3 linked regions of the Cricetulus griseus genome follow. The protein of the gene in region 3 interacts with the protein of the main gene of each other region in a biochemical or structural test. Links are inferred from orthologs where the notes say so. Each region holds a gene or a part of one and is shown on either strand. Other genes may lie near its edges.

Evidence for each region.
Region 1: the proteins of Clns1a (region 3) and Snrpd3 form a complex in vitro, tested with the Homo sapiens proteins (2 studies listed by BioGRID). The link is inferred for Cricetulus griseus from reciprocal best matches to the Homo sapiens genes CLNS1A and SNRPD3.
Region 2: the proteins of Clns1a (region 3) and Prmt5 form a complex in vitro, tested with the Homo sapiens proteins (5 studies listed by BioGRID and IntAct, with this or other methods). The link is inferred for Cricetulus griseus from reciprocal best matches to the Homo sapiens genes CLNS1A and PRMT5.

The regions. Positions count from the first base shown.
Region 1 is NW_023276806.1:263,060,055-263,070,337, reverse strand, and holds the start of Snrpd3 (small nuclear ribonucleoprotein Sm D3), read left to right. Parts: upstream 1-4,159; 5' UTR 4,160-4,313; intron 4,314-5,550; 5' UTR 5,551-5,566; coding exon 5,567-5,692; intron 5,693-10,283. Other genes in the region: protein GUCD1, read right to left, coding at 3,283-3,325. UniProt on the Homo sapiens protein: Plays a role in pre-mRNA splicing as a core component of the spliceosomal U1, U2, U4 and U5 small nuclear ribonucleoproteins (snRNPs), the building blocks of the spliceosome.
Region 2 is NW_023276807.1:209,730,181-209,740,698, forward strand, and holds the start of Prmt5 (protein arginine N-methyltransferase 5), read right to left. Parts: upstream 6,701-10,518; 5' UTR 6,655-6,700; coding exon 6,545-6,654; intron 5,943-6,544; coding exon 5,824-5,942; intron 5,558-5,823; coding exon 5,472-5,557; intron 4,481-5,471; coding exon 4,346-4,480; intron 3,883-4,345; coding exon 3,770-3,882; intron 3,645-3,769; coding exon 3,595-3,644; intron 2,299-3,594; coding exon 2,135-2,298; intron 1,006-2,134; coding exon 844-1,005; intron 415-843; coding exon 337-414; intron 248-336; coding exon 189-247; intron 106-188; coding exon 1-105. UniProt on the Homo sapiens protein: Arginine methyltransferase that can both catalyze the formation of omega-N monomethylarginine (MMA) and symmetrical dimethylarginine (sDMA), with a preference for the formation of MMA.
Region 3 is NC_048596.1:101,793,980-101,804,436, reverse strand, and holds the start of Clns1a (methylosome subunit pICln), read left to right. Parts: upstream 1-4,621; 5' UTR 4,622-4,711; coding exon 4,712-4,836; intron 4,837-9,014; coding exon 9,015-9,151; intron 9,152-10,457. UniProt on the Homo sapiens protein: Involved in both the assembly of spliceosomal snRNPs and the methylation of Sm proteins.

The sequences.
Region 1 (10,283 bases), on a different chromosome or scaffold from region 3:
TCCCTCATGACCAAAACTCACATTGAAACATAAACCCCACAGTGGTGGTGGAAAGAAGCTGTTGGGTCTCCAGGGGCTGGAGAGATGGCTTAGCAATTATGAGTATTGGCAGCTCTTCCAGAGGTCCCACAACCAGCTATAACTCGGGCTCCAGGGGGTCTCCAGCATCCTCTTCTGCCCTCTGGGAGCACACACATGATAACGTGGACAAACCCACAAGCAAAACTCTCATACACACAAAATAAAATAAACAAGTCTTTAAATAAGAAGTTGGGTCTTTAGGGAAGCCATTCAGTCATGGAGTCTCTGAACTTGTGCCTTATAAAGGGCCAGGAAAAATAACTTAGGCTGTGTCTTAAGTCTCCTTGCCAGCTGCTGCGATGAACCCCTTGACAAAAGTAACGTAGGGGGGGAAGGGTTTAATTTAGCTCACAATTCCAGGTTACATCATCATGTCTGGAAAGCCACAGTAGTAGGAGACAGCCAGTCATACCACATCCAAAATCAGGAACAGATGGCAAGAATACACGTGTGCTTTTGGAGAGCCCTTTTCCCCTTTGTGTCAGTCTGGGGCCCAGCCCAGGAAACAGAGCTGCCCATGTTCAGGGTGAGTCTCCCCAGTTCAATTAACCCATTAAGAAAATCCCTCATAGGCAAACCAACAGCCCAGTCTAACCTAGACAATTCTTACTAAGGCTCTTTCCCCACGTGATTATAGATTATATCATGTTGACAAAACTAAGAAGCTGGAGATGGCTCAGCAGTTAGAGTACTTGATGCTTTTGCAAAGGACCCAGGCTCAGTTCTGTTCCAGGCACATACACAACGGCTTACAGCTGTCTGTAACTCCAGTTCAAGGGGTTCTGGCATCCTCTTCTAGCCTCTGAGGGCACCTGCATGGACACACATGCAGACAAAACACTCGAGCCACACAAAACTTTATAATCAAAATCTTAGAAGAAGTAAAGAAGAAAAAGCAAGCTAACAGTCATAGGCCTTTTTCTTTTTATCCTTCTGATACTCTGCTGTGCAAGTTCTCTTTCTTTCCTCTCTCCCTGTCATGTGGGCATAGCCAGAGAGAGTTGGCTATAAGAAATGGATGGATCTTGTACTGAACTTACCAGCACCCTGATCTTAGAATTCTCAGCCTCCAGAATTATGAGAAAATAAACAAAGACACCAGGTAACTTGCTGGTTTTGTCTGCTGTTTCCTTGTCTAGTAGCTAATGCTTAGTAGTGACCCATCATATTACTTGAGGCTGGGGGCGTAGCATTGTCAGGGACCGAGGTTCAATCCCCGGTGCTACAAGTTTAAAAAAAAGGAAGGAAAAAAAAGTCACTTACTGAAGGAACGATGAGCTGTGTGAGAGGCTTCAGGCAAACCAAGGTGATGTAAACCTCAGTCTCCAGAGACTCAAACCGTTCTCTCTCAATACACTGATGGAAAACTCTCTGCAGAATGAGGCGCTATCAAGATAGGTGTCTTCCCTTTCCAGAATCCTCACTGAGGCTGTAAATGCCCTTTTTGCTCTGATCTACTCAAGCTGATTACTACCTGGATCTTGTTTTTATCTAACCAATGATCTGGAATGTGGCTTTCTCACCTCTGACATCCAAATGTTCTGCCCCTCCCCCTCCCCCTCCCCCCTCACATCAGGCTCATAGAGGGGGCATCTGCTTTCTCCCTGGTGGGCCTGAGAATTCTGTAATAGGCAGGTAGGGTCAAGGTTGCATTTGCCTCTTCCCAGACTTTACCCATAGCTAGCATTATTCTATGCTGTTGAATAGGTTTGTTTTAAAGCTCTACCCCTTGAAATGCCTCCTTGTCACTACAGAGCCTATTAGTTCTAGGCTTCCAGATCACAACCCTTTGTTGGATACTCCCTCTTCTCTCTGTGGCCTGCACTCTGGTTCTAATTAGTTGGGGCCATGTCTTCTCTTATACTGTTATAAAATGTGGGCTAGGAAGGTTGCTCTTCAGGGTCCTAAGAAACTCAGCGATCTCTCTCTCTCTCTCTCTCTCTCTCTCTCTTTCCCCCCTCCCCCACTTCACTCAGCCTTAGAACCCCTAGATCCTGAGGCCTCACGAGGCAAATATCCCTACTTGGCTATCCTGATCTTGGCACAGGCAAGATGTTTTCTGGAAGCAGGTGATAAGTGTAGGAGAGGCCTTGGTATTTGTCCAGATAACAGCTTTAGCATTTAGACTTCAAAACTGCTGCTGATATTGATGTCTGAAGCCAAGAAGTGACCCTACCTGAAAACTAGGGTCTGCTTTGTTTGTGGCCTGGCTTCAGTTGTCTGGTTGTCCCTAGTGAAGGAAAGCAGTCAACTCTCCCTGGACACATTATCCCTCTCAGCCTCAGCCTGCTCACCTCAAAAAGTACAAATAACAGCAGTAGCCTACTTCACCGGGATTTATGAAAATTAATCCTATACCATCTATAAACACTTTACCACTGTATCTACCTCTTAGCTCGACACAAGTGAGCCATTATTTGCTGAGGCTAAGAAAGGGCAACGATCTTATCAAAGTTCACAGTTAGATAACTGGAGGAGTAAAAATGTAAATCCCAGGGTAGGTCCAAGCCCTGCTCCAGCCTACCACCAGAAGGAACCATTCCCCGAAAGTGGTGTTACTCTCCAATTGACACTTAAGGAAGGGCTCAGGCCCCAAACCCCTTGACCCTTCCCATGAGATAGCAGCACGCCACAACAGCTTATTAATATATCAACTCTTGTGCCCCAAGCAGAGCTCCACCATGACTTCCAACTTTCCCCACTTCTTGAGCAAGCAAAGGGGTTCGGGTTTCCTCGGGGCGGAGGGAACCAGAGAGAGAAGAGTACTAAGACAAAAGCGCTGCGTTTGGGAAGCCAGATTAAAAAAAAAAAAAAAAAAAAAAAAAAAAGGCCCTTCCCTTTGCTGAGGGATCTCAGGCCGTTCTTTCCCCCTTCACAGCCCCAGGCCTTCCACAGTTCCCCCTAGGAACAGCATCACGCAACGGGGTTCAAGCAGGACCATTCGTTTCTGGGGAAGGCAGTGCCTTTGCCCCCTCGGACTTTTGCACTTGACTGCTCTCAGAACTCCCCGAGAAACAACCAGAAGCGGAGGACGGGAGACGAGAAGGAATATCCATCCACCTAGCTAAGGTCCACTGGAAGCTCCAGTCTGGGCTGAGGCCGCCTGCGGCCCAAGGTCGCGCGGCCAGACCCTGCCCAGCTCCAGGGCGGAGTCCCCCTCGGTTTCCCCGGTGAGGGCAAGGCCCTCTGAGAGGCACTGACCGGGCTCGAGCGGCTGCCCCGCTGCCTCTGCCTCCGTCCTCATGACCCGGGTGGCGCAGGGCGCCCATGGCCCCGGCCTGGAGCTGATCGCAGCTGCGACTTGTGCTGGGCAGCGAGCGCGGCCAGTGTGGGGAGAGTTCCGCCGCCGCCTCTCCTCCTCCTCCTCCTCCTCCTCCCGCCGCCGCCGCCACCGCCGCCCGCCGCCGCCGCCGCCTCCGCGGTTCAGAGCCGGGTGGGCGGGGGCTAGGCCGCCTCAAGCCCCGCCTCGTCCCTGCCAGGTCCCCGGCCTGGAGACCCGCCCCTCCCCTAGGCCACGCCTCCTCGCCCACCCACTTCTCTCCCATAAAGAGCGACCCGCAGGGCCCGCCTTCTGCGGAAGCCCCGCCCCTCCCGGGCCCCGCCCCCAGGCCCTTCCATAGCGACGTTGGCTCCTCCCAAACCCCCTCCGCTCGGCTTGCTCCTTTGCAGCCCCGGGTGTTAGCGCCGGCCCCTCGCAGTGCCTGCCTCATCGAAACGCCCCGGGAATCCTCCTCTGCCTCCCTTTCGGTCTTAGCCACACGATGAAAAATGCCAGTTTCCCACGCTCGGTGCGCCGCTTACCTGATGGCGACCAGATCCAAAGCTTAGATTCCTAGTCCAAGCCTCACTTCCTGTGGCACCACAGCAATTTTGGGGCTCCAGCCTAGCTCCCGCCCAATCCGTCCCTGGAGTACTTTGTAAGTGGGGGGGGGGTCTCCATGTTCCTTTTGGGGCTCGAGGACGGATGCTTCCGGCGGCCCCCCGGGTCCTCTCCAGGGCCGGAACGATAATGCCAGAGCCGTCGTTTTCCGAGCCGGCGGAGTTAAGGAGGAAGCATACGTCAGAGCGCTCTCGCCGCTGGGGAAAGGAAGAGGAGGGGCCCTGCGCGCGGTATCCTGGGAACGCGTGGTATTCTGGGTACCCCGGGCCCGCCATTCCCTCGCTTCACGCCTTCGCCGTGTAACGTTTGTGCCAGGGCCGAAAGGGAGCCGGTGAGGAGAGGCGGAGAACCGGTAAGAGGAGGCCTAGGCGTCCCCGGAGGGTTAGGGGCAGGAAGGGAGCCTGCGGAGGAGCTCAGCGGGGCACTAATGGCGGGCGGGAAGCCTGGGCCGATCCAAACACCGTCTCACCCGCGCTTGGAGCAGCTCCTCGTTTACGCCTGTCTGCGCGTTCTGTGCCTTTCCGGCTCGCCGATTTTCGGAGCTCGCCCGCAGTCGTTTCTCACGAAATACCCCCTTTCCCTGTGTGCCCTCCTTTTCAGCGTCCTCTGCATCCCTGCTCCCCTCGGATTCCGGCGCTGGCCCTCCCCTGCCTTCCACGACTGCTGCACGAGTCTTAGCGAGTCGCTGTGCTGCAGAAGGGCCATGTTCGAGCTATCCTGCAGATGCTGCTATTATTCCTTTTTGTTTTCTACTGAGCCTTTGGCAATGACCCTTTTGTGTCCCCCCCCCTCCACCGTTTTCAGCATAAAACTCACACTCCTTAAGTTGAAAGCCGTGGTTCCTCACCAAGAGAGACAGCGCCCAGCATCCTTATAGCCTTCTCATGGACATAGGTGGGAACGCTCATCACAGTTGCGCTTAGCCTCCGTCTTTTACTGAGGCTTAAATCGAGCGTCGACCCTGATGGTGCTCCTGTGAGCATTTCCTGTCACTTTGTGAACGCCTTGCTATCTTATCAGGGTCTATGTCTGCTGAGCACTTGGAATATTACTAGTGTGACTGGGAGGGGAGGGGCTTTTTAATTTATATTTCAGTTGAATAGCTACAGGTAAGCAGTGATTGCTTTTGAGGTCCATATCATAGTTCTTGGGTGACTATAAAGGGTCATGTGTTTGGGAATAGATAAGAGGCACTCTTCATTCCCACCAGCCTCTTCTGTCCAGCTTGCTTGCCATCCTTCCCAGCTCGAAGGCAGTGTGTCCTTGCCATGGTGGTTCCTTCAAACCAAGAGTCAGACTCCTTCCACAGAAAATGCAGCTTAGGCCGGGCGGTGGTGGTGGCTCACACCTTTAATCCCAGCACTCGTGAGGCAGAGGCAGGCGGATCTCTGTGAGTTTGAGGCCATCCTGGTCTACAAGAGCTAGTTCCAGGACAGCCTCCAAAGCCATAGAGAAACGCTGTCTCAGAATAAAAAAAAAAAAAGAAAGAAAGAAAGAAAGAAAATGCAGCTCTGACATATTTGCAAAGGGTATGGTATGCCAGTCCTTCTTAAGCTCTGAAAGACAGCTGTTGTCTCTCTCTTCCACAGGAACACTCCTGCCAAGATGTCTATCGGTGTGCCGATTAAAGTCTTGCACGAGGCTGAGGGCCACATCGTAACTTGTGAGACCAACACTGGCGAGGTGTATCGAGGGAAGCTCATTGAAGCAGAGGACAACATGAACTGCCAGGTACCTTGCTTTGCACCTGTGAAGGAACTGTGGGTGAAAGGTAATATCTCTGACTGCTCCAGGTCTAATACACATACCTTGGAGTTGTCATAGAGAGTTCAGATGGCTGTGTGTTCACAGTGGCCAGCTCAGTGCTTTGCGTGCAATAACTGGTGCCTGTTAACTGTATTCCACATGAGAAAAGTAAAGGTTGGAGAGGGAAAGTACATTATTTAGAATCACACCTGTGGGTCAGGTGGCCTGACTATTGCCTTTTAGGGTTTGCATTAGTTATTTCCTGTGGCTGTGATAACACACCATTAGAAGGGGTTTTTTTAGGCTTGCAATTACAAAGGAATGAGTCCATCGTGGAGGGGAGAAATGGTAATAGCAGGACGCTGAGTGCTTACATCTTCAATAGAAAGCTTGAAGTAATGAGAGCTACCTGGAAGTGTTGGAGGGTATTAATCTGAAAGCCTGCCTCCAGTGACATTCTTCCTTCAGCAAGGCTGCATCCCCTCATCCCACCCCCCCCAAAACAACCCACCAACACATGGGGGCCAAGTGTGCAAATGCCTGCAACTGTGGAGGATACTTTTCATTTAAACTACTGTAATTGTGCTGCTTAGTTTTTTTGTCAACTTGGTGCAAGTGAGAGTCACCTTAGAAAGGGGAACCTCAGTTGTGAAAATGCCTATCCTATAGGCAATTCTGTGGGGCATTTACTTGATTAGTGATTGATGGGTAAGTGCCCAGCTTATTAAGGGCTAAGCCACTTCTAGGCAGTTGTTTCTGGAATAAGAAAGGAAGCTGAAGGCTGAGCATGGTGGTGCACACGTTTAATCCCAAGACTAGGAGGCAGGGGCAGGTGGATTTCTGAGTTCCAGGAGAGCCAGAACTGTTTCACAGAGAAGCCCTGTCTCGATAAACAAAACAAAAAAGATGTATTTGTCTGTTTTAGGGCATTTAGTTTTGGGAGTAGAATGAAAGAATTTGGATAGTGACTATTAATATATTTAGTATGCTGCTCTAATTAATGAAACTTACCGAGGTGGGCTTCAAACAGCCCAACTATAACAGGAATTTGTCTGACTAGATTATGGTATTCTCAGAAGTGCAGCCCATGTGATGCAAAGACACAAATCTTAGTACATTATCAGGTTAAATCTTGGAAAGCAGTGTGTCTTGTGTGTGAGCTTTGTGCTGCCCTTGCCCCCTGTTCCCTCCAGAATCGGTGATAACAGATGAATGCTCACTTTGATTTACTTTAGAGTGTGTAAACTGAGGTACTGGGAATTAGGACTTCATTGTGTCCTAATTTTTGCAGGGACATAATTTAGCCCATAATACTGCCCACATCAAGATGATGAGTCTTCATTAGGTTGACCCAGAGCCTAAGCACATTGCATAAAGATCAGTAGGCTGTGTAGAGCAAACCCCAGCAGCAGGTGAGCACTGACCACTTCACTAGTGTATCTCTGGGATTGTGATGGCTCCTGCAGGTGCCCCTGTCTCCTTCCTGGTCCCCAGTCCTTTAGAAATGAAGGCATCCTCCAAACACCTCTGCATAGTATTTTCTGTTTATAAGCTGGGGCAGAGTCAGGCAGGGTAGTACACAGCTACAATCCCAGCACTCAGGAAAACTGAAGCAGGGGAATCACCACAAATTCAAGGCAAGCCTGGACTTTGACACCATGTCTCAAAACAACAGCAAAAAACCTGACAGATTTGATACCTGAGAGAATTCCATCATAACCACTTCTTTCCCTGTATTGATATATTATTTATGATCTAGTAAAGCCATTGGGATCAAAATGCAAAGCTAGCCACAGCCATAGAACCAGGCAGTGGTGATATACACCTTTAATCCCAGCAACCATACTAGCTAGCCATAGAGGCCAGACGACAGTGGTGGTGCACACCTTTAATACCAGGACTCAGGAGACAGGTGGATCTCTGTGAGTCCAAGACCACCCTGGGCTACAGGAGAGTGAATCAGCCAAAAAGAATAACAAAGCTCACCCCTTTAATCCCAGCATTAGGGAGGTATAAAAGGAAGACACAAAGGATTTCATGTGAGACTTAGTTTTTAGACAGGGAGAGCATTGTACTTTGAGAATTAGAGGAGACAGGATCACCCATTTCAGCCTGGGATAGAGGTAAGAACTAGTGGTTTGGCTGCTTTGCTTTTCTGATCTTCAGCTTGAACCCCATGTCTGTCTCTAGGTTTTATTATTTGTGTTCCATCACCCTGTATGTATTGACATAGATAGACTTCTTTAACCTGTGTGCATTTAAATGCAGCTTAGAGAAATTATGTAAGTAGGATATTCTTTTTGCAATCTATGCTACTGATAGTGTCCAGCAAGTGTTCTCGCTACTCAGCTATGCCCCTATCCCTGTATATAGTAGCTTCAAAGTAAGGAAATGGGCCATGGTGCAGCTGAGCTTGATTAGAAAGCCAGGTAGCTGGTACTTAGACTGTAAACCTGAATTCCTCTGCTTTTAATAGTGGTACATTCAGGTGTGAGGTTGGGCAGAAGGAAATCATTTTTAGATACATGAGATACAGGTTTCTCTGGCATTGAGATATAGGAGATCCTATTAAATGATGTTCTTCGATGCTGGAGCGATGGATCAAAGGTTGGGGACACTGGTTGCTCTTTAAGAAGAGCTGGGTTCAATTCTCAGGACCCACATGGCAGCTCACAACCATCTGTAACTCCAGTTCCAGGTGATCTGATGTCCTCTTCTGGACTCTGAAGGGCACCTGCATGCACACTTGTGATGCACATGTATGCATATACATTAAAAAATGAGTAAACAATTACCTTTTTTTGAAAAATAATGTTCTTACCAGTATCGTTGTGTAAAAATCCTTGTTTAGGATCCTCAGAGCCTTATCTCTTGATAAGGAAGCGCTGTACCACTGAGCCACACACCCAGAATTTGGTTGTTTTTACATAGTTTGTGTCATTTGAAAGTATGGAGAGGGAGAGAACTGATTCTGATCACAACAGACATACCTGTAGCATGCAAACGTATGTGCACATATATACACAAAGAAATGCAATCATTTAAAAGGGAGAGAAAAATTAAAAACTTTAAGGTGATGTTTTTGAGTCTCCTGAACTCTCTTCAAACCTAAGTCTGTCCTTAAATGTATTGACTTTCCTATCTCTACCTCCTCCCAGGGATTTTATGATTACAAGTGTGTGCCAACTGTGACCAGTTTCATAATTTTTACTGTGTGATCTATTCTAAACCATATTCCAGGATGCTAATATGGGAGGACATTGTATAGTTTTGTTTTTAAGATGGAATGTTACTATAATACATATATATTGTTTTTACCAATGTGGCAGTTTGAATGTAGTTGGTCCCCATAATCTTGTAAGGAACAGCACTGCTAGGAGGTGTGGCTTTTTTTTTTTTTTTTTTTTTTTTTTTTTTGAGTGAATATGGCCTTATTGGAGGAGGTGTCACTGTGGGGGTGGGCTGTGGGATTTCCTGTCCTCAGGATACCACCCAGTGTCTCAGTCGACATCTTGTTGCCTGCAAGTTGTAGGACTCTCAGCTACTTCTCCCATACCACATCTGCCTGCATGTGCCATGCTCTCCACCATGATGGTAATAGACTGAACCTCTGAAACTGTAAGCAAGCCACCCTGATTAAATGTTTTCCTTGTGGGGCTGGAGAGATGGCTTAGCAGTTAAGAGCACTGGCTTTTCTTCGGGAGGACCCTGGTTCAATTCCCAGCACCCACATGGCAGCTCACAACTGTCTGTACCTCCTGTTCCAGGGGATCCAACACCTTCACACAGATATAAATGCAGGCAAAACACCAATGTGCATAAAATAAAAATAAATTATTAAAAAATGTTTCCTTGTAAGAGTTGCTGTGGTCATGGTGTCTCTTTACAGCAGTAGAAACCCTAAGACACATGTCATTATTCCTTTCCCAATTAAAAGTGAATATGTCATAGAATGGATGATTTAGAGGAAAGGGGTTTATGTGTAGACATGTAACATACAAAGGTAATGACCTTGTTGCTAATGTGCAGATTGTCATTTATAGATGGCACTAATGATCCACCACTGAAAACAAGGTAGTAAGGCTGCTGAAAGGGTCTTGGCCACTTAGCATGTTCTTCCTGGAAGTGACTTGGTCTGTCAGTCAGTTTTTTGATACAGTAACTCTACCTCCAGTTAAAATGATAGTTGTGGGGGCTGGGAAGATGGCTAGTGGTTCAATTCCCAGCACCCACATGGCAGTTTACTACTGTAGCTCCAGTCCCTGGAGACTGGATGCTCTCATGCAGACATACATGCAGGCAAAACATCAATGCACATACTTATAAAAATAAGTAAAAAATTTTTTAAAAAAAGCAAAATGATAGTTGTGTGTCCCTTTCAGTGTTTTTAATAAGGAAAACTCTCAAAAACCAGTATTTCTGTTAATAGAGCTAAATGAATTATAATTAAATTCACAATATAGCAGGCTTTGAACTTCACACACACATACACCATCTCTTCTACATCCCAAGTGCTGGGATTACAGGTATGTGCTAACATGCCCATGTTGTTTTCCATTAGTTTCTATAATCAACT
Region 2 (10,518 bases), on a different chromosome or scaffold from region 3:
TTCTTCTCCACAGCATACAGCCTTATCCGCCGGTCAGCCTGCTTGGCTGCCCGGAGAGACGCATTCACCAGAGGGCCTCGGCCTGCGCCCAACACCATCAGTACCCTAAGAGAAGGGAAGTGTCAAGCAAACTGAGCAGGTGGACAATCAGGTGCAGAGCTCCCTGGGAACATAGGGAAAGCACTCACTGGACATTGGTCTCCTTTTCCTCTTCTGGCACTCGGTCGAGCAAACATTTGTAGATAGCCTGGGGGGAAGGACAGAAAACCTTACAGCTACAATCCCTTCTTCGCTGATCTTACCCTGTGCTTTGCCACCCTGAAGCCAACACTATACCTGCTGATATTGAGAGTATTTGATGGGGTCCTTTTCAAATACTTCGTATGTCTGAGATTCCAGATTGTCCATCAGTGGCTGATAAAAAGAGGAAAGAACAAGTTGGCCAGTTAGGGGAAATGGTCAAGATATCGAAATCTCCCATTGCTTCCTGAATTGTAATAGGATCCTGGACCACTTTCTCTAAGAGATATCTCTTGCTATTATTATTGTTGTTGTTTTAATATTATTACTTTATGGTGGCTTTTTGGGTATTTTTTTTAAGTTAAAAAATATTTGTGTATGGGTCTTTTGCCTATTTGCATGTCTGCACACCACACGCAGGCAGTGCTTGAGGAAAGGGCACCAGAAGCATCAGATCTCTTGGGCCTGGAGTTACAGTTGTGAGCCACTATGGGGGTGCTGGGAATAGAATCCAGGTCCTCTGGAAGCAAAGGCAGCACTCTTAACTGCTGATTAACCTCTCTAGTCCCTCCTCTCAACTCTGTAAATGTACTCCAAACCTACCTGAAGTGGGGACTGCAGGTAGTCTTCATAGCCTTTGGCAAAGAGTTCATAAGCATTGGGTGGAGGACGATTTTGGCTTAAGTATTCCAAGTACTGGAGGTAGGAGCAGAACTCCTTCTCTGAGTGGTGGTTGGTGCCCGTGATGATAAACTGCACTTCCAACTGTGAGAGAAGTCAGATCATGAGACCCAGGCCACAACCATGACTCTCAGACATTATGGTTTATGACCAAAAGCCTAAACATAAAATAAAACCCACACCAATAGTTCTCCAGCATCAATTCCCCCAAAAGGGGGCTCTGAAAAATCTATGAAGTCCTTGTATGCTATATAAGCTGCCTAAGCATCATCCTGACTCAAAGGAGAGGATGCCACAAGGGAGAGGATCCCTGCAGGTGTCATGGCAGGCAGGGAAACGATGCACAAAGAGATAAGAATGAAAACTCTTAGCCTGGCTTAGGCTGGATCAAACTTTGAGAGTCTGATGCCAGGCAGTTTATTGTCAAGCATATTTAAACACAGTAAAAATTAAGAAAAAGTTTCCTGTTATAATACAATCCCCAGGGCACAAAACTCAAAGTATCTGTCATTTCTTCCAAGAAGACTGGTTCTAGAGATAGGCTACCTGTACTAGCTTAAGGGCCTAAGAAAGGCTCTGGCATGGTCTCCTTCACACAGCTAGCATAGAGGTCATTTGGACTACTAGCCACATCTGGGAGCTTGGGGGAAGCCCCTGGCTATGTAGCTAATGTAAGGGTCATTTAGACTACTAGCCACCTGCGGTTCTGGTTGTGGAGACTTGATATGGCCTGGCCCAATAGATAAACAGGTTTTCCGTCCTTCCCCTAGAAAGGACAATCCTGCATGCCTAACATTTCTGGCTTCTCTGGTGATCTGTAAGTGCAAGATCTTCACACTCCCACACACAAGGGCCTTCACACTCCCTGTAAACACACAAGGGCCTTCACACTCCCTATACATACACAAGGACCTTCACACTCCCCCACACAAGGACCTTTAATTTCTTACTTGTTTGCCTGTTTGCCTTGAGACAAACAGGCCCTGGCCGGCCTGAAAGGCCACTTTGAGTTGGAACTCAAGAGATCTGCTTGCCTCTGCCTTCCAGTGCTGGAAGTGTGCGTCACCATACCCAACCTTTTACTTTAAATACTTATGTTAACAAATTTCTCATAAAGTTTGGTTCCTTCTCCAAAAGTCACCTGACCCTCCTCCAGAGGGAAAAGAAGTCATGGACAAGTAAGTTAGGAGATTCCACTGGGCCACTCACTCACCTTGAGGAGTCGGAAGATCAGCCTTTGCTGCATCTTAGAAAGAACAGGAAATCCCTTCTTGTTGGTTAGGAAAATGCTGGTGGGGAGGATGGCTGCTTTGATGGGCTCTCCAAGCCAGCGGTCAATGACGTGATTAGATGGGAGGTCAGCCCCAATTTCAAGAGCTACACAAACAAGAAAAAGGCCTATCACCTGCTGTTAGGCAGGCAGCCCTGTCTTACTGGGTACAAGCGTTTTCCTTCTGTTGAAAACTGGTGGTTGAGCCCAGGGAAAGCAGCCAAAATACCCAGTACACACACAGAACTCATTTCTTTGTCCCCTTTTTCAGACAGGTTCTCACTGTATAGTCTTGGATGGCTTCGAACTCACAGAGCTCCACCTCTCGTTTGGGGATTAAAGGTGCATGAAAATAGAATGGTCAGTGCTAGTTCTATTTTCAGAGTGGGTCTCAAGTAGCCCAGTAAGTACTGAAACTTCCTGTGAACTTCTGATACTCCTAAGTGCTGGGATTTCAGGCATGTGCCATTACTCATGTGTGCTATGGATCTTACTTAGGGCTTCATGTATACAGGCAAGCCAAGTGCTCTGCCAATTGCCTTACATCATCCCCCCCCCAAATTGTTGATCTTCCTTTTTTTTTTTTTTTAGATTTATAGATTCTCTTTATTTATGTGCATGTATGTGCAGTTACCCATGGAGGCCAGAAGAAGTCATCAAATCCTCGGGAGCCAGAGTAAATATGCAGTTGTGAGCCCATCAATGTGGGTGCTGGTATCTGAACTCTGGTCCTCACAATAGAGCTCTCAACTGAGCCATTGCTCCAGGCCTGAAATTACTGGATTTTTTGTTTGTTTGTTCTGAGACAGGGTTTCTCTGTGTAACAGCCCTAGCTATCCTAGAACTACTAGCTCTGTAGATCATATTGGCCTTGAACCCACAGGTATCTGCCTACCTCTGCTTCTCAAGTTCCTGTATTATTAAAGGCTGGAACTACCACCACCTGGCTGTTTTTGTTTTAAAACAAAACAACCACAGTCTCTCTATGTAGCCCTGACTGTTCTGGAACTTTCTAAACTGAAATTCTTATTTTTGGTTTTTGTTTTCCAAGACAGGGTCACTCTGTGTAGCCTTGGCTGTCCTGGAACTCTGTAAACCAGCCTGGCCGCAAACCCATAGAGATCTGTCTGCCTCTGCCTCCCAAGTGCTGGGATTAAAGGCGTGTACCACCACCACCGATTGGCTATTTGGGGGTTTTGCTTTGTTTTGTGAGATAGAGTCTGTCTACATAATTCTGGCCATCCTCGAACTCACTAAGTAGACCAGGCTAGCCTTGAATTCAAAAAGATCTACTGGACTCTGATTCCCAAGCCCTGGGATGAAAAGTGGTGGGCCACCGCACCCAGCCTGCTGATTCTTACTCTTACGGGGTTCCTCCTATCCCAGGACCCTTGTGCACTTACCTACTGCAATTCTCTTGCTATAATCACACAGAGTCCTGAAGTTATGCCACCTGCCCAGATTCAGAAACAAAACACTGTCAAATGCATATGGCTTATGACTCAAGGAGCTCTTCTACCAGTTCCTCAATATTCCTTACCCCACCCCATACAGGTAAAGCGCCAAGAGGAGACATACCACATCCACGTCTTCTCTTCCCCACTGTACTCCTCTGTGTGTGTAGTTGGGACATTCTCAATGACATCATCTCTCAGGTCCTCTGGAGCCACCAAGGGCACCCTCATCCAGAACTGCATATGAACAGTTACCATTAGTTAGAACACTGTTTTCAACTAATTGGGTCCAGAAAGCTTCCCTCAAAAGATCTTGATCCAGATCTCAAGTTAATCTCTTTATATGCCCTTCTGAATTTGATTACATCCGTGTTTAATATCTTATACACATCCTTATGCAAATACCTCCCTTGTCTTTTATTTTAGCTAGAAACAAGCATTTTCTATGATTTGGCATTGTTTTATAGTGCTAAGACTCTTACCCAGAGGCTCATGTATGTTAGGCAAGTGATTACCACTGAGCTGCACCTCTAAGCCCATAGATTCTGCTTGAAGCTCTCTCCATGCCACTTCAAAATTGGGGGTTGGGTGGGATGGGCAGTACTGACATTTCAATTCGGCCAAAAGCACTGGGGCATAACTAGGCAAAAGTCACTTCACACAGCTGACTATCATGATACTCAGCAGCACAGAAGCCTACCATGGAAGAGTGGTGGCCAGTATGGATGTGGTTGGTCAAAACTCTGGCCAGGTTTGTGTTATCTTCCTGATTCAGGGGCAACAGAAAAGCTGGAAGACCCAGATATGCCCCGAAATTCAGCTCCTGTAACATAGCCTGAAACACATGGAAAGAAAAAGCCATTAAGAACTAGGAACCAAATACTTCCTGGGTAGAGAGGAGTTTAAACTGGATCTGGTATTGTGGCCCAGGCTGTCAGGAATTCCCTATGTAACTCAATTTGGCCTTGAATTGGAGGCAATCCTCCTCACTCAGCCTCCACAGTCCTGGAACCCAGCTTTGTAGACCAGGCTGGCCTCGAACTTAGAGATCCGCCTGCCTCTGCCTCCCAAGTGCTGGGATTAAATGCGGATGCCACTACTGCTCAGTTATTTTTGTCTTTTTGAGACAGGGTCTGTCTACATAGTCCTGACTATCCTAGAACTATGTAGACCAGGCTAGTCTTGAACTCAAACTATTTTTTTTTTTTTTTGTTTTGAAGAGGGCAACAGGATCATATGCTCACTTCAGCAGCACATACATTAAAACTGGAATGAAATAGGGTCTTAGTATGTAGCCCTGACAGGCCGGGAACTCTCTCTCTGTAGACCAAGCTGGCATCCAACTCAGTTCGAGGATGGCCTCTGCTGAGTTACAGATGTGAGTCACCACACCCAGGGTCAGACTCTTAACTGTACTCTGATTTACCAGGTTCTGGGGAGTGGGAGTTACTCTCCTAACCCAATTTGATGACAGAACTAATTTCTTTCCTTTTTTCCCACCCTCCTTTTCTTTTCTGGCTTGGAACTCTCAATCCTCCCTCATTATCTTCCGGTGTGGAATGCCTCCCCAACACTGAGGTTACAGGTAGGGGTGGGTCACAGCACCTAGGTCAGACCTAGGTCAGAGCCAGGCGTTGGTGGCGCAGGCCTTTAATCCCAGCACTTGGGAGGCAGAGGCAGTCGGATCTCTGTGAATTCAAGGCCAGCCTGATCTCCAAAGCGAGTGCCAGGATAGGCTCCAAAGCTACACAGAGAAACCCTGTCTCGAAAAAAAAACCAAAAAAAAAAAAAAAAAAGGACCCCACAGAAAAACCAAACAGCCTTACCGCTTCAGAGTTCCTTCGGATCCTCTCCACTTTGGAGTCTGGACGAATCCACGGAGAAAGCTTTCCCACAATTAGCGTATTCCAGTCTGCACTCCCCCACCCAAGAAAAGACAAAGACTCAATGAGGTCTGGCATTTTCTTGCTCAATTTCTAGTTCTCAGCAGGAAATAGAGTAGAGATGAAAACAAGCCTTTTTCTCTCAGATACAGGGATAGCCTGAAGAATGGGGGAGTTACCTATATCACAGGGGTTAGCCAGTACAACCAAGTCAGAAAAGGAGGGAATTGAAGACCTATAAAGCAGAAGTTATTACTGCCTCTAACAATCAAGGGGCACACGGGATGGTCCCTACCCCTTCCTGACAGCAGTAGGTCTGATCGTGTCTGGGGGCCAGGTCGATTCTTAGCAGGTTCCTGAGTGAACTCCCTCTTGAAACGCGGGTGGAAGACAGGCATGCAGAGGAAATCAAACCTACAACCGCGACAGACTCAGAATTATCATGGAAAGTGAGGACCCAGAGATCAACCAACTGGGTTTAAACTATCTTGATTTTGCACAGTTCTATAAAGCCATCAGTCACCCCCCGGGGCTACTGAGTTCAGCCCATCTTGGGACATTTAACTTTCTCTGCACTGTGCATCAATTTCTTCCCAAAACATAGCCATGAAAGATGACTGAGAAAAGAAGGACATCCAAGGCAAATAGCATTCTTTCTTCCCTGATAACACTGGCTTTCCAGGGCTATCAAATCCAGATTTGTCCCAATACTGCCATGCCTCCCCCAGCCAGATTAACCTCTTCTCTCGTTTGCCCCCTTAAAATACTTCTTTCTCCTCTCAAATAATCTTAGCCTCCAAGGCCCTAGACGGACTGACTCGCGTCCCGCCTTTAATTTACCCAACAACTCCCCTGACTTTTGAACTCGGTGACCACACGCCTCCCAGAGTTTCATCCTCTCGTTCCTGGAACCGAAGTCGTCCCCACTCAAGGAGTAATGGTGTCTCCAGCCCTCATCCCCTGCGGGGAACTAGTCTGCCCTCCTTGGTCCCCAATTTGGATCCCGCATTCCTCACCCCTGCTTGGCCACAGCACCCAGTGTGTCAGCTATTTCGGGGACGCAATTCAGGTCCCTCCCGCTGGACACGCGGCTGCCACCGGCACCTCCGACTGCCATCGCCGCCATCTTTTCCCTCGCGCGGCCCACGCCGGGATTCCTTGCTACTAGGGACCAATCACAACGCCGAGAGCAGTCCCCGGGAGGCGGGACAAGTCGCCTTAACAACCAGAGCGTCTTCGCAGCTCCCGAGCGGAGGCGGAGGGACCGAGCGGCCGCTCCCGCCAATCCACAGGCCGCACCGTGACGTAGGCGTGGCTCCCCGGCTCGACCAATGACAGGCCGTCACTGCTGAGGCTCTGCAATCTCCCAGAATGCCGCATCCGTCTGAAGCACTCCGGAGAAAGACTACAGGTCCCATGCAACCCTGCAGTTAGCCTGAAGTACTATCATTGGGCTACCACAAAATGTCTGCGGGCCAGTGGCGCAATGGATAACGCGTCTGACTACGGATCAGAAGATTCCAGGTTCGACTCCTGGCTGGCTCGTTGGGACTGGTACTCCTTTATTTGCATCCCTTGCTAACCCAGTGTTCCTAAACCCCACTAGTCCTGTAACGTTTTGCTCTTGTCTCACAACCGCTGTACTTCCTTCACTATCTGCTTACGCTGTCATTTCCAGGTCTTAACCTGGTTCGGTATTTCAGCCATCCCATGCTGGCGTGTCTCATTCCTCTTTTCAAAGCTGTTTCTTGTATAATTAAGTGAATCTGAGCATGAAAATTTCGGTGAATGGACTATTAAGATGAGCTTTGTCTCATTACTATGCTTAAAAAATACTACACTTAAAAAATACTCTGTAGTAACTTAGCCACTAATTCCTAGTGATTCTGTCTCAAGCACAGATGTAAAGAAACACCTGCCCGCGCGCGCACCCCTCAGAGAAAAGGAATTCATGAGCGATTACAGTGCCCAGGAGTCATGAAACTGCCTCGCGGAGGGCCGAGAGAACCTACGTTTCCCCCTGTCAACAGCTGGAAAAGAAGGAAATGGCACAGGCAAGGAAGAACCTCGGAAGGGAACGGGAAACACGTACCTGAGGCAAGAAGCCCACAGACGTTGAGGACCCTCCAGGCCAATCTGTGGAGGCATTTTCTCAGCTGAAGTTCCCTCTGCCTTGTGTCAGCTTTGACAAAACAAACAAACAAACAAATAAACAAAAAAGTTAAAAGGCACTGACAGAATTCAGGGACTCGGTAGCAAGGAACCGGGAGGGGGAAATAGTAATGCCACGCAGCAGCGTTTTGCCCTTGAAGTGGGAGAGTTCAGGGAGAATCGGATTTGGGGTTCGGGGTGCAGACTGGCCATCCAGAGAGCGCCGTGTGATAGAGAGCTGCAGGGACAATGATCTGAACCACACGTATTTGGACGTTTCCAGACAGGAGTCTTGACTAGTGAGGTCACCATGGATTATGGAGGACAGTGCTCTTAGCAACACAGGAAGGCGTGGAGAAAATAGGCTCTAAGGAACCCTGGGTAACGTAAGTCCCCCCCACCCCGCACCCCAAGAACAGCCAGGAAACCAGAAAACCAAGAAAATTCACAATGAGGGGTTGAGGATGCTTTTGTACCACCACCACCACCCACCCATCACACCAACAACAGCAACCCATCACACCACCTTCACCACCACCACCACCAACCCATCACACCACCTTCACCAACAACAACAACCCATCACACCACCACCACCATCACACCACCCCACCACCCCCACCAACAACCACCCCACCCCACTCCCACCTTCACCACACCACCATCACCACCACACCCCCCACCCCCACTCCCACCCCCACCTTCACCACCACACCCCCCACCCCCACCTTCACCCCACCCACCCCCACCCCCCACCCCCCACCCCCCCTTTTGCTGCTCCCGGATCTTTGTTTTTGTTTTTTGGGGTTTTTTTTTTTTTTTTTCGAGACAGGGTTTCTCTGTGGCTTTGGAGGCTGTCCTGCCACTCGCTCTGGAGACCAGGCTGGTCTGGAACTCACAGAGATCCGCCTGCCTCTGCCAACCGAGTGCTGGGATTAAAGGCATGCACCACCAACGCCCGGCTTGCTTCTCTGGGATCTTATGCAGGATACCACATCACATTTAGTCGAATGTGTCCTTAGGCTCCAGTTGACTGTGACTATCTCTCAGATGTTCTTTGTTCCTAATGATTGTTACTTCTGATGATGTTAAAATGCCCTTCTGTTGGAACTTGTCTCATGTTTTTCTTTTGATTAAACTGGGAAAGAAAGCAGGGCGCTGGTGACACATGCCTTTAATCCCAGCACTCGGGAGGCAGAGGCAGGTGGATATCTGTGAGTTTGAGACCAGCCTGGTCTACAAGAGCAAGTGGCTCCACCGATGACAATTTTCCATGCTATACTTTTTGGAAGGATTCCACTCTGCACCGCCCTGCCCACGCCACGGGATTGGAGAACTACAGGGCCTCTCCTGTAGGGGGCAGAATTTATTTACAATTCTCCCTGCAGATCTTTCCAGTGGATGTCTGTGGGAAGTGAATCTGCCCACAATCCACGAGATAAAAACACTGTTAAGGAAGGGATATGTGATAGGTAGGGTTTTAGTTGGTGGGGGTGGTAGGGGAGGACAGGAGGGAGAGGAAACTGGGATTGTCATGTAAAACAATCTTATTTCTAATTCAAATTTTAAAAGATTTGCGCGCACACACACACACACACACACACACACACACACACACACACACACACACACACACAAACGCTGTTAAGGAGGGTTCCTGTCTCTGCCTCAGCTGTGCCCAGCAAACTGCATCCAGCAAAGTCTTGGTAGGTGTTTGTTCTTTCAGAAGCTAAATGTCTAGTTGTGGACCGTCTGTGTTTCTGGGTCTCACTCCTGACAACAAGGTAGTGGTTGTTCCATTGGCTGTTAAAAATCCATAGGTGAGAGGGAAAGAAGGAAAGCCTGTGAAACACTGTGTTTTCACTAGTTAAAATACTTTTCAAGAGTATGGACATCTATCGGGCTGGATTTCTTCCCTCTATGTTGTCTTTGTTCTTCGTTAAAACTGGCTTTGGCCACCTACTGGGTATGATGCCAAGCAGTTCCTGGGAATTCTGTCACACACTACTCCTGCTGTCTCCCACATCCTTTTCCTGTGTCACTTGGAAGGGGGAAAAGCATGTAACTACAGGTTTGTGTATAGCAAGAAGGGAAAGACTGAGAGAAAAAGAATAGAGAGTTCAGGTCAGTGAAATGCTCTGTGGGTAAAGCACTCACTCACCACACAAGCCTGGTGACCCAGAACCTTACTAAAGAGGAAGAACAGACTCCCAAAAGTCGTCCTCTGACCTCAAAAGCTACAGATCTCAGCTGTACAACAGGACGGGGGCTTTGCTGGGATGAAGACAGGCATGGAAGAAGACCAAATAGTCTAGGTAAGAAATAAGGGTGCAGTGGGCGAGGCCAGCCTGGTCTACAGTTTCAGGGCAGCCAGGGAAACACAGAGAAACACTATCTTGAAAAACCAATAAATAAGCAAATAAATACATGTAAATAATAATAAATAAACTTACTTTTCTGGTAGACATTAATGACAATGGAGCAGAGCATTAGAGACTTTTGGGAAGGGGAGGGGAGGGAGAGATGCTCACTCCCAGATAATGCTCTCCCTGCTGCTAGTTATTCCCTGTCTTCAGGCTCAGCTTTATTTGGCTGAGTTTCTGTCTTTGTTTAAACACCTCCTGTCAGTCTTATTGGTTGTGCTGGCCTTCCTGAGACCCTCCTTTACTCATCTCTGCAACCACCCCGCCTTCGCTCACCCCTGCACCAGCTTGGTCAGCAGCCCTCTTCAACACCTACACAACGGCCGGCTTGACCCTCCCACTGCTCCAAATTGCTTCTTTACAATCAGAGCTTTCCTCTGACTATGAAAGTGGCAGGGTTACTGAGGCAAAATAAT
Region 3 (10,457 bases):
CGTTAATGAAATGTTGAATGTCTGTCTCAGTACAGTCTGATCAGAATTCTCAGTGTAATAAGCCAGGCCTAAGCCATTTTACAGCTCTTGGCCTAACTGTAACTTTTTTTCCCAAATGTTTTATTATAATACTTGTCATTTCTTTCACTTAATATATGTCAATTGTCATAATAAAAAGTTTAAATAAGTCAATGTACTTAGCATTGTGTTTGAACACTTACCTAGAGCACTCAGAATTTTCACTAACTGGTTCATAAAGGGTTAAGATGGTCTGTATCACCCAGGAATAGACTATTATTCATGATCTAGGAAGCAAATTTGCAAGTAGACCAACTTCCTTAAAAATAGTTTTAAAGGCTACTCATTTATTTATTTATTTTGGTTTTTCAAGACAGGGTTTCTCTATGTAGCTTTCGGGCTTGTCCTAGCACTCACTCGATAGACAGGCTGCCTCAAACTCACAGAGATCCCCCTGCCTCTGCCTCCTGAGTGCTGGGATTAAAGGTGTGCACCTCCAATACCCAGCGTTTTTAAGGCTATTTATCAGCTAGGTCTATACAAATGACAACACCATTCTTGGTTTCTGTTACTTAGCCTCTGGAGAGTTGACACATTACAGAGTCCAGGGCTTTGTTCTCTGAGAACACAACCTCACCAGAAATCAGCAGCATAGGGCAAAGGTTTTCAGTTCCTTTCCTGGCTGGGGAATGGGGTTGGTCTCTCTCTCTCTCTCTCTCTCTCTCTCTCTCTCTCTCTCTCTCTCTCTCTGTGTGTGTGTGTGTGTGTGTGTGTGTGTGTGTGTGTGTGTGTATGTGTACAAACACACAAGAGAAGAAACACAAAGTAGTAGTCTCATCTAAATGCTGATACCTTTCTTAGTATACCTAAAGTTTTGTTTTGTTTTTGACTGCAAGCTAGCAAATCTGTCAGTACTTGAAATTCCAACTCTAAACTACAGATTAACATTTATGTAAAGAATGTCAATCAGGATTTCACTTAATGGAATAATTGCTGGCTTATGATGGTAAGAAAATCGTCAGTTATATTCACAATTTGAGATTTTTAAACAAATCAGCTAAGAATCAGTCCCCGATGGCCTTTTGTTAATGTTTTTATTTAATGTGTATGGGCGCTTTGTCTCCATGTATACCTGTTTACCATGTACATGCATGATGCCCTTGGAGGTTAGAAGAGGACATTAGATCCCCTCAACTGAACTGTTGTGAACCACTACATAGGTTCTGGGAATTGAACCTGGTTCCTCTGGAAGAGCAGCCAGTGCTCTTAACTGCTGGACCATCACTCCAAACCACAGCTCAAACAATTCATTGATTCTTAGCTGAGCATGGGGCTAGAACATAGCTCTTAACTTTCATCTTAGATTAAGAGACCAGAGGATGATTTCTTTAAAAATCTAAGATTTAATTCACTAAATAATGATCATTTAGTAGAAGTGGAATTATAATAAAACTATTTTAATGAAATTAAATGTTAACAGTTAGGACCCTTCTGGATGAGGTAAATGCTTACGAAATTTTGACTGAGTTCTGTATGATTACTAAAGTCCAAATGACAATCAAAGAGAAAGAACATTAAGAGGATATGACCTACGAACACAACATTAATGCATACAGTCATATCCCATAGGAAAAGTTAGAACCTACAATACATGTCCACAGTATAGGCCACCTTCCCTACTCAGTAACACTTTCCCATTTCAGAGCCACTTGACTTAAGTTTCTATCTTCCTTTCTAGCCTGACTCCAAGAAGACTTTTTGTAGCAACCCCCTGTATATAATACGTCCTTTACCGGGTAGCCTTCCTATCATCTTTCCGTCTTTCCTGTCTCAGTTCTGTCCCTGATTTCCATTCTGAATATTCCTATGAGATGTCCTTCCTTCAAGGTTGAAAAAAAAAAATGCGTCTGTTCCCATTTAATGTCTTCTAGTTATTTTTTGCTTGATTTTCAGTATTTAAAATAAACAGATCATGGAACTGTTAAACTGAATTTAGAAGTTCTTACAAAAATGAAACTAGTTTCTAAGAGAAATTCCAAGAAACCAACAGGCTTTATGGCAACAATTGAATACATAATCACAAACAACAGTTACAGACAGCTGACATAACAGCACTCAGGAGACATAGGTAGGGGGATCACAAGTTGGAGGCCAGCCTGGGCTACACAATAAGTGCTAGAAGTCCTCAGCAAGTCACATTTTCTCACCTTTAATTTTAACTGTAAATGGGCATAACAACTACCCTGCCTACCCTCACAAAATTACTATAAAGGAGATAATGGGTGAGGAAATCATTCTTTTAAAAAGTAAAACACTGTACAAATTTAAGTGCCTACTATTTATGCTATCCACAGGGATTTTTATGAGGAGCAAAAAATATAACCCTTGCTCTTCCAGTACTTGATGCTGGTCTGTTTGTCACATTTGCTTAACCACCTCCTCTGGCTGGCACTATGAGTTCAAGGGTTCCTTCACAGAGCTAACATCCCTTTCCTCAGTTACCATCTTAAATAAAATGTTTTGCCATTGAGCTATCATTCTGTAAAAATGACTAAGACAAGTTAAGAAATTATTACACTGGTTTTAGCCAGTTTTCACGTGTCATACATGGGGATTCCATTTCTGAGCAAAGCATTGGTGGTTTCATCAAATGTCTTAGGGCAAACCTCGAATTAATTGTTTCTCAAACGTATTTTTTTTTTTTTTTTTAAAGTACTGGGGACGCAACTCAGAGCCTCACATATACTAGGCTAGTAGTTCTGCCTGAACTCTGTTACCTTGGAACCTACTCTGGAAACCTTTCTGAATTCTCCGACTTAGAAATAAATAAATAAGCCTACACCTACTCAAGTTTTGAAAGTGGAAATTTAAAAATGATATTTAACCTCTTCTTTTTGACTATTCTCGTCTACACGTCTACACCTTCACAAGCTTTTCCTCTCACTCTATATCAAAAGTATGAGGATTTTAACCTTCGACGAGCTCTAGATGACTCTTTTGTCACCCCTCACCCTTACTGCCATCTTCTCACCTATACCAGGGCCACACCTTCTCCTTCCTGTTCGGTGCTTCTCTCTCCTAGTCTGCTACCAACAAACTAACCAGTCTCAGGACTGGAGAGATGGGTCAGCCTGTGGGAGAGCCTAAGGCTTTTGTGGAGGACCCAGATGGGTTCACAGCATCCACTGCCTGTGATGAGCTCTGGAGGAATCCAATGCTCTCTTCTGGATTCTGTGGTCGTCTGCACTCACACGTACACACACACACACACACACACACACACACACACACACACAGTTAAAAAGTAAAAATAAATCTTAAGAAAACATCTCCACACTAAAGACTCCTCTGTTGAAAAGATACCAAGAAGAAAAAACAGGGGAAAAAAAAAAGAAAAACAAAACTCTTAAGACAATCTATATGTTTTGTCATCCAACCTAAACAGCCCTAAACCCATAGCTATTACAACTTTTTTAAAATGGTTTTTCAAGACAGGGTTTCTCTGTGTAACAGTGCTGGCAGTCCTAGAACTCATTTTGTAGACAAGGCTGGCCTAAAACTCAATGAGATCCACCAGCCTCTGCCTCCCAAATGCTGGGGTTAAAGGCATGCACCATCACCGCTCACCCGGCTGCTGTGACAATTTTATAGTTAAAAAAAAAAAAAAAATGAAGCCTAGAGATTGGCTGACTGAATTCCATCCTCTGGGTCTCTCATTTCTAAACTCTAGCTTGTGAGTTTAATGCCTCAGCTCTCATGTGTAAAACGGAGTCAGTTAATAGAAAACTTGTTCTTATTATTTATCATAAAGAAAAAAATATGAATTAAGCAGATGTGGTGATGCTTGCCTGTAACAGTACTTGTAGCCAGAGTAGGGTGCATGTGGATAAAAACAACAAACAACAAGAATCCATGAAGAAATGAGAGTGGTAAAGTGCTTACGCTGTGTGGCACATAGCCGTCGGCTACGGGTGTCTATTTACTAAGTCTTCACTGCTCTTTCTTTGGGGCCTAGAAGTTCCCGATCAATGGCTGCCTTTCCCCTCGGCGCTGTCTTTGGACTGTCTCGCCGCCCTTTCGTTCAGGTAATGTAACCTCTTTGCGCTGCTGTGGCGTGGCACGTGGGGATGGGGCGCTATGAGGCCTAAGACGGAGGTCTGGTGAATGGCTGTGTGAACCGGTGAGATCAGGCCCGATGAGGCGGGAGCAGGAAGAACCGCGCATCCAACCGGGGGACTTCTGACCTCCAGATGAGTGTGGACTCTATTTCCCGTGCGTCCTCCTAGGCCCGTTCCGGGTTTTGTTTTGGAAGGCACAGTATTCCTTAAACATACTCTCTCAGGGATTGCTGTGACGACCTACAAATAGAACCACAGCGAAAAACACTGTTATTCTAAGCCTCCTCAGAGGGGCGGGGCGGGGCGGGCGGGGTGGGGCGGGGCTGGCGGGGCGGGCGGGGCCGCGAGTGGGGGTGGGTGGAAAGACCCATATCACGTGACAAAAGCCAGCCGGGTCCTCACGGACCTCCGGCGTCTAGACCGTCCCATCTCTATGGTCAACGGCTCGCCGAACCCAGCGGGGAGGAAGTTGTTCTTCCGGGATAGCGCTACTGCTTCCGGGCCTGCTCATGTGGCCTGGGGTTGTGGTGCTCCGCGTCTAGGATCGTGCGGAGGGAGCTAAGAATTCACCCGCAATGAGCTTCCTCAAAAGCTTCCCGCCGCCTACGTCGGAAGACGGGCTCCGGCTGCAGCAGCCAGACACCGAGGCTGTGCTGAACGGGAAGGGTCTCGGCTCCGGGACCCTTTACATTGCGGAGAGGTAGGGTCCCCGGGCTCCGGCGCTGGCCTCCTTCGGGGGCTCCTTCCTCCCTTAGGCACGACCTCGGGGCTGCTGCGGGGAGCGGGGAGCGACGCTACGAGTATGGTGGTTGAGAGGGCTCCCCTCTCCCGATCCCACCTGGCTCTGTTCTCTAGACGGTGTTTCTCCTTAACGACTTGTGCTTTTTACCGGCCTGTCTTCTGGAGCCTGGCGCGTGGTCACGTTTAGAGTTTTGAGTCTGCAGAGCCTATGTTAGTTCTCGATGTGCCTGGCTTTCTTAATAATCGTGTGAGCTACCTGTTTTTACCTGCGTAAGATATGTGAGTTCAGTGTAGATTGTGAAGGGTTTGGGACCTTTGGTTAATGAGCATGGATTTTTCTGCTCAAGGTGTGGGTGGGGAAAAAGAGCATCTTCAGGCCCACGCAGGGCGGGGTCATAACCAGCCGGCCCTGACTCCGGTCCTGGAAGGAATCTTACTGTTGTTTGACTACAGCGCTTTGTACTTTCACAATAAGGTAGACACGTCACTGGAACACACACTCTCTCTCTCTCTCTCTCTCTCTCTCTCTCTCTCTCTCTCTCTCTCTCCTCTCTCTCTCTCTCTCCTCTCTCTCTCCTCCCCCCTTCCTGTCCTTCAGAGTGTCTGATTTACCTTCTGCTATATTTCATTTGTCCTCCACGGAGTACATCCTCTGCTTTTAAAAGCTCGTGTTATAATATTGGGCCTGACTAGAAAATCCAGGCTAGTCCCCTTATTTCACCATCAGCTGATTGTCACCACAGGGGCCGAGAGAGAGAGAGAGAGAGAGAGAGAGAGAGAGAGAGAGAGAGAGAGAGACAGAGAGAGAAGGTATTAGAATGACTTACAGGGTATGGTCCAGCTAATCCAACAATGGCTGCCAATGAATGGAAATTTCAAGAATCCAGAAGTTGCTCAGTCCAAGAGGCTGGGTCTCTCAGCAGATCTTCAGTGGATGCTGGAATCCCATTTCAAGATCAGTATTAAAGTCTTTCTGCCTCAAGATCCAGATTAGAAGTGGATTTTCCAATGGGTGCTGGTGCTGCATGCCTTTAATCCCGGCACTAGGGAGGCAAAGGCAGATCTCTGTGAGTTCAAGGGCAGCCTGGTCTTCGGAGAGAGTGCCAGGACAGCCTCCAAAGCTGCACAGAGAAACCCTATCTCGAAAAACAAACAAAAAAGTTACTTTTGAGCTTAGAAACAATGCCTCTTTGCATGTCATTCCAAAATTAATTTTAAACCAATTAAGGTCAGGGTCTCTTACTTTTCTGTACTGTTTTCAACTCTTCACCAGAATTAAAAGATACTGCTTGTCCTTATTCATAAGTGTCAGAGTTTAACAAAACATTTTTCAACTGGTGTTTACTACTCTTTTAGTTCTTGTATTTGCATTTATGACATTTTGTTTTGTTTTTTATGACTGGTCATAGTTAATTGTATATCTTGGTTTTGGAGTACTTCTAGAATCTGTGACAAGAGACAAAGCAGGGTTAGAACTTAAGTCAAATAAGTATTGCTTGCAAGTGCCACATCCATTCTTCATGAGCCTCTCAGAGGAGCACTGTGCAGAGACAAAATGCTGTCATTCTTAGGGGCTAGATAATGATTTCAGCCTCTAAACCAAAGGCCATAATTTGCTAGACACTGATTTGATTTAGATGCTAACTTTTCCACTGCCCGGTGGAGTTAATAAAGGTTTTGTGGCTCTGAATATTTGAAATTATTTTGGATGGGTAAATCTGAATGTTCCATTCTAAATTGTGGTCATGTCAAGAGATTTTGGAGGTGAGAAAGGAAACATAGTTTGCTAGGTCTATTCTCAGTACCCATGAGCACTGTTTCATTCCCACATTAGAGAAGAGCTGTGTGTGGGAAGGGAGGATATGTGCAGCACACAGTCAGTTACATAAGAAATCTGTTCCGTTACAAGCAGTAGGGACGAAATAATTCCTCAAACTATTTTTTCCCCCTGAGATAGGGTTTCTTTGTGTAACAGCCCTAGCTGTCCTGGAACTCACTTGCTCTGTAGACCAGGCTGGCCTCGAACTCACAGAGATCTGCCTGCTTCTGCCTTCCTAGTGCTGGGATTAAAGGTATTTGTCACTCACTACCTAGTTATTTTGAGACCTGGATTCTGTGTAGCCTAGACTGGCCTGGCATTCATTATGTGGCTCAGGTTAGCCTTGAACTTAACAGCAGTTGTCCTATAGCAGTCTCCAGAGCGCTTGTATTATACCTGTGATCCATGGTCAGCTTGTCAGAACTGTATGGAAAGTAGGGTGAGGCTGAGTATGGGGGCACAGGCTTGTAATTCCAGCACTTGCCATGTGGAGTCAGGAAGAGCAAGAGGAGAGTCTAGAGTTTGTGATTATGGCTGGGCAGGGTGGAGCAGGTCTTTAATCCCAGCACTGGAGGCAAAGGCAGGCAGATCTCAGTGAGTTCTGAGAGTCAAGCCTATTTAGAGACCTTGTCTCCAAGAGGGGAAAAGGATCATGGCCAACCTGGGCAACAAGCTAACATGAGCTAAATGTCAAAGCTGGAGGAATGGGGAGGGAGGGAGGAAGAGAATAAGGAGGAAGAAATTGGAGAGGGTACAGGATATGCATATGTTCTGCAGAGGTATGTCCCTATTCCTTTAATTTCTGTTTTAAGTTTTAATTAGTATACAGTAGTTGTATAAAAAATGACTTTTATTAGGATATTCCCTTTTAAAGTAGCATTATTGACATGGTTTCCATGCCATACAACTTATTCATTTCATTCATAGAAGTTAATGGTTTTTATTATGCACTTTTATCTTCACTCAGTCTTAGAACATTTTGTTGTAGCCCCCCAAACAAACAAACAAACAAAAAACCCAATGCTCATTTTAGTAGTTGTTCCCTGTTTCCTTTCAGCTCTGAAAATGTTTTTGTGGCTTTTTTGGGATCTTGCCTCCTGCCAAGGTCTTTTCACTGGTTTTTTCTAGATTGTACAATTCATGTGGGAGAAATACTGCCAAGAAAAATTAGGCATCATCTGTTAAAATTCAACCTACTAACTTTGGTGATATGTTTCCTTTGTTATACCATTAAAATATTTGTGCACTTTTAAGGGGAAAGTGTTTTGTGGCTTTTTGTTTTTCTTTGTTTTTAAAAATGTTATTTTATTTGCATGGTATTTTGCCTGCATGTTTGTCAGTGTATCATGTGTGTCCCAGGTGCCTGTCAAGGCCAGAAGAGGGTGTCAGATCTCCTGCAGCTGGAATTACAGATCATTGTGAGCTTGGAATGTGGGTGTTTGGAATCGAACCTGAGTCTTCTGGAAGTGTTCTTAACCACTGAGCTGTGTCTCCAGCCCCTGTAGCTTTTTCTTAAAGCTGGTAATAAATGGGAACTTTTATCTTGTCTCCTAAGGTAATAGTAAATTTTTTTTTGAATTGTGATTGCAATCACATCTGTTTTGTATATATATCATTTAATATATGAGGTGTGGAAAGGTTGATGACCATTTATCTTGCATGCTTACCTACGAAGAACTGTGCTAACATTTTTGAAGAATGTTGAATAAAGGGATGGAAGTAACAGAGTACAAACATGGTTCATTAGCCTACTTAGTGCTAATGTGTGTTACCAAGCACAAGTGAAGTTTGGAACAGAAGTGGTCCTTGTAAAAAGGAGGTCTCATGGAGTTATTGGGGACTTGACTAGGTGAAAAGATCTGTACAGCAAAGAGGGTAATGGAGACATTCTAAACAAGAATGAGCACAAGAAACAAGCACAGGGAAGGGGCTGAGAGCTGCTCTTTCAGAGGACCGTAGCTATATTACCAGTACCCACATGGAGTGTCGACAGTCTCCCTTACCTTCAGCTCCAGGGGATCTGATGCTCTCTCGGCATCCACCAGTATCCACATGCATGTACACATAGTGGAGAAATAAACACGGATGACTTGCCTCTCAATTCTGTTTGAATTTATATTTAGAGGGAAAAAAACATAAAAGAAAAAATTCAGTTCTTGTTACAAAATTTTCTTATTTTAAGGAGTATTTCTAATATTGTCAATAAATTTGAATTTCTTTCCATGCATAAAAGTGTCCTGGTTGAACATTTATATATTTTGGAATATTAAGTTATGATTTAATTTTTAAAAATAATGTGCCTAAACCATGTTTTTCAGCCGCCTGTCTTGGTTAGATGGTTCTGGATTAGGATTCTCACTGGAATACCCCACGATTAGTTTACATGCTGTTTCCAGGGACCCAAATGCTTATCCTCGAGAGCATTTGTATGTTATGGTGAATGCCAAATTTGGAGGTATGTATGGTGTAATGTAATGTAGTGCTTCCTCTGATAGCAAAGTATATTTTAAGGGACAGTGTTTGTTTTGAGATGAAGTCTGACAGATTAGTTGCTGTCAGTCCTGAACTCCTGGGCTTGAGTAACTGTCCTCATCCTCCCAGATACTGACATTTTAGGTGTGCCACTTTACCAATCTAAAAAGCAATCTTTGATGATGTAAATTTTAATCCAGTGACCCACATTGCATAATATCATATTAAGCAAAATTAAATTACCTAAAATAATTTGGCCATTTGAATTTCTTCTAATGGGAATTGGGTTTGTGTATATCTGCCTTTTATTTCCTATATATTTTTACTTAGAACTCTTCTATTAATATGAATATATTTCTTTTTTTTTTAAAGATTTATTTATTTATCATGTATACAATGTTCTGCCTACATGTATGCCTACAGGCCAGAAGAGGGCACCAGATATCATCATTACAGATGGTTGAGTCACCCTGGGAATTGAACTCAGGACCTCTGGAAGAGCAGCCAGTGCTCTTTACCTCTGAGCCATCTCTCCAGCCCAATATTAATATATTTCTACTTTTTGTTTTAACTGCTTATTCTTTCTCCTTCTAAAGGCACTTCAGAGATGTGAACCAGTATATTTTGTCTATACAGAAATTTATTGTTTTTATTTATTTAGTTTACCGATGTATATGCAAGTGGGGGTTAGTGCCTGCATTTATGTCTGTGTACTGTTTGCGACTGATGCCAGAAGATACCAGAAGAGGGTGTAAAATCCCCTAGAAACTGAGTTACAGACTATGTGTATGTGTTTGTCTGTGTGAATGTATGTGTGTGGATGCTTGCAGAGACCAGAAGAGGACGTTGGATTCCTTGGAGCTGGAGTTACAGGAAGTTTTAGGCTAAACAATATGGATTTCGGAAACTGAACTTATAGAGCAGTGTATTAGCTACTTTTCTATTGCTGTGCCAAAATACCATGACCAGCAACTAAAGAAAAGAGTGACTAATTGGGCTAATGTTCCAGAGAGGCAGACGCTATGATGGTGGAGCAAGGCAGGCAGCAGGGACAGCCCAGAGCTCACATCTCAAACCACAAGCAGAGGCAGAGACACACACTGGAAATGGCAGGGGTTTTTTGAAACCTCAAAGCCTATCCCCAGTAACACACCTCTTCCGATAAGGCTACACCTCGTAATCCTTCCCAAATAGTTCCTCTAACTGAGGACCAAGTATTTAAACAGATGAACTTATGGGGGCCATTCTCATTCAAAGCACCCCAAGAAACAAACACTCTTAACCATTGA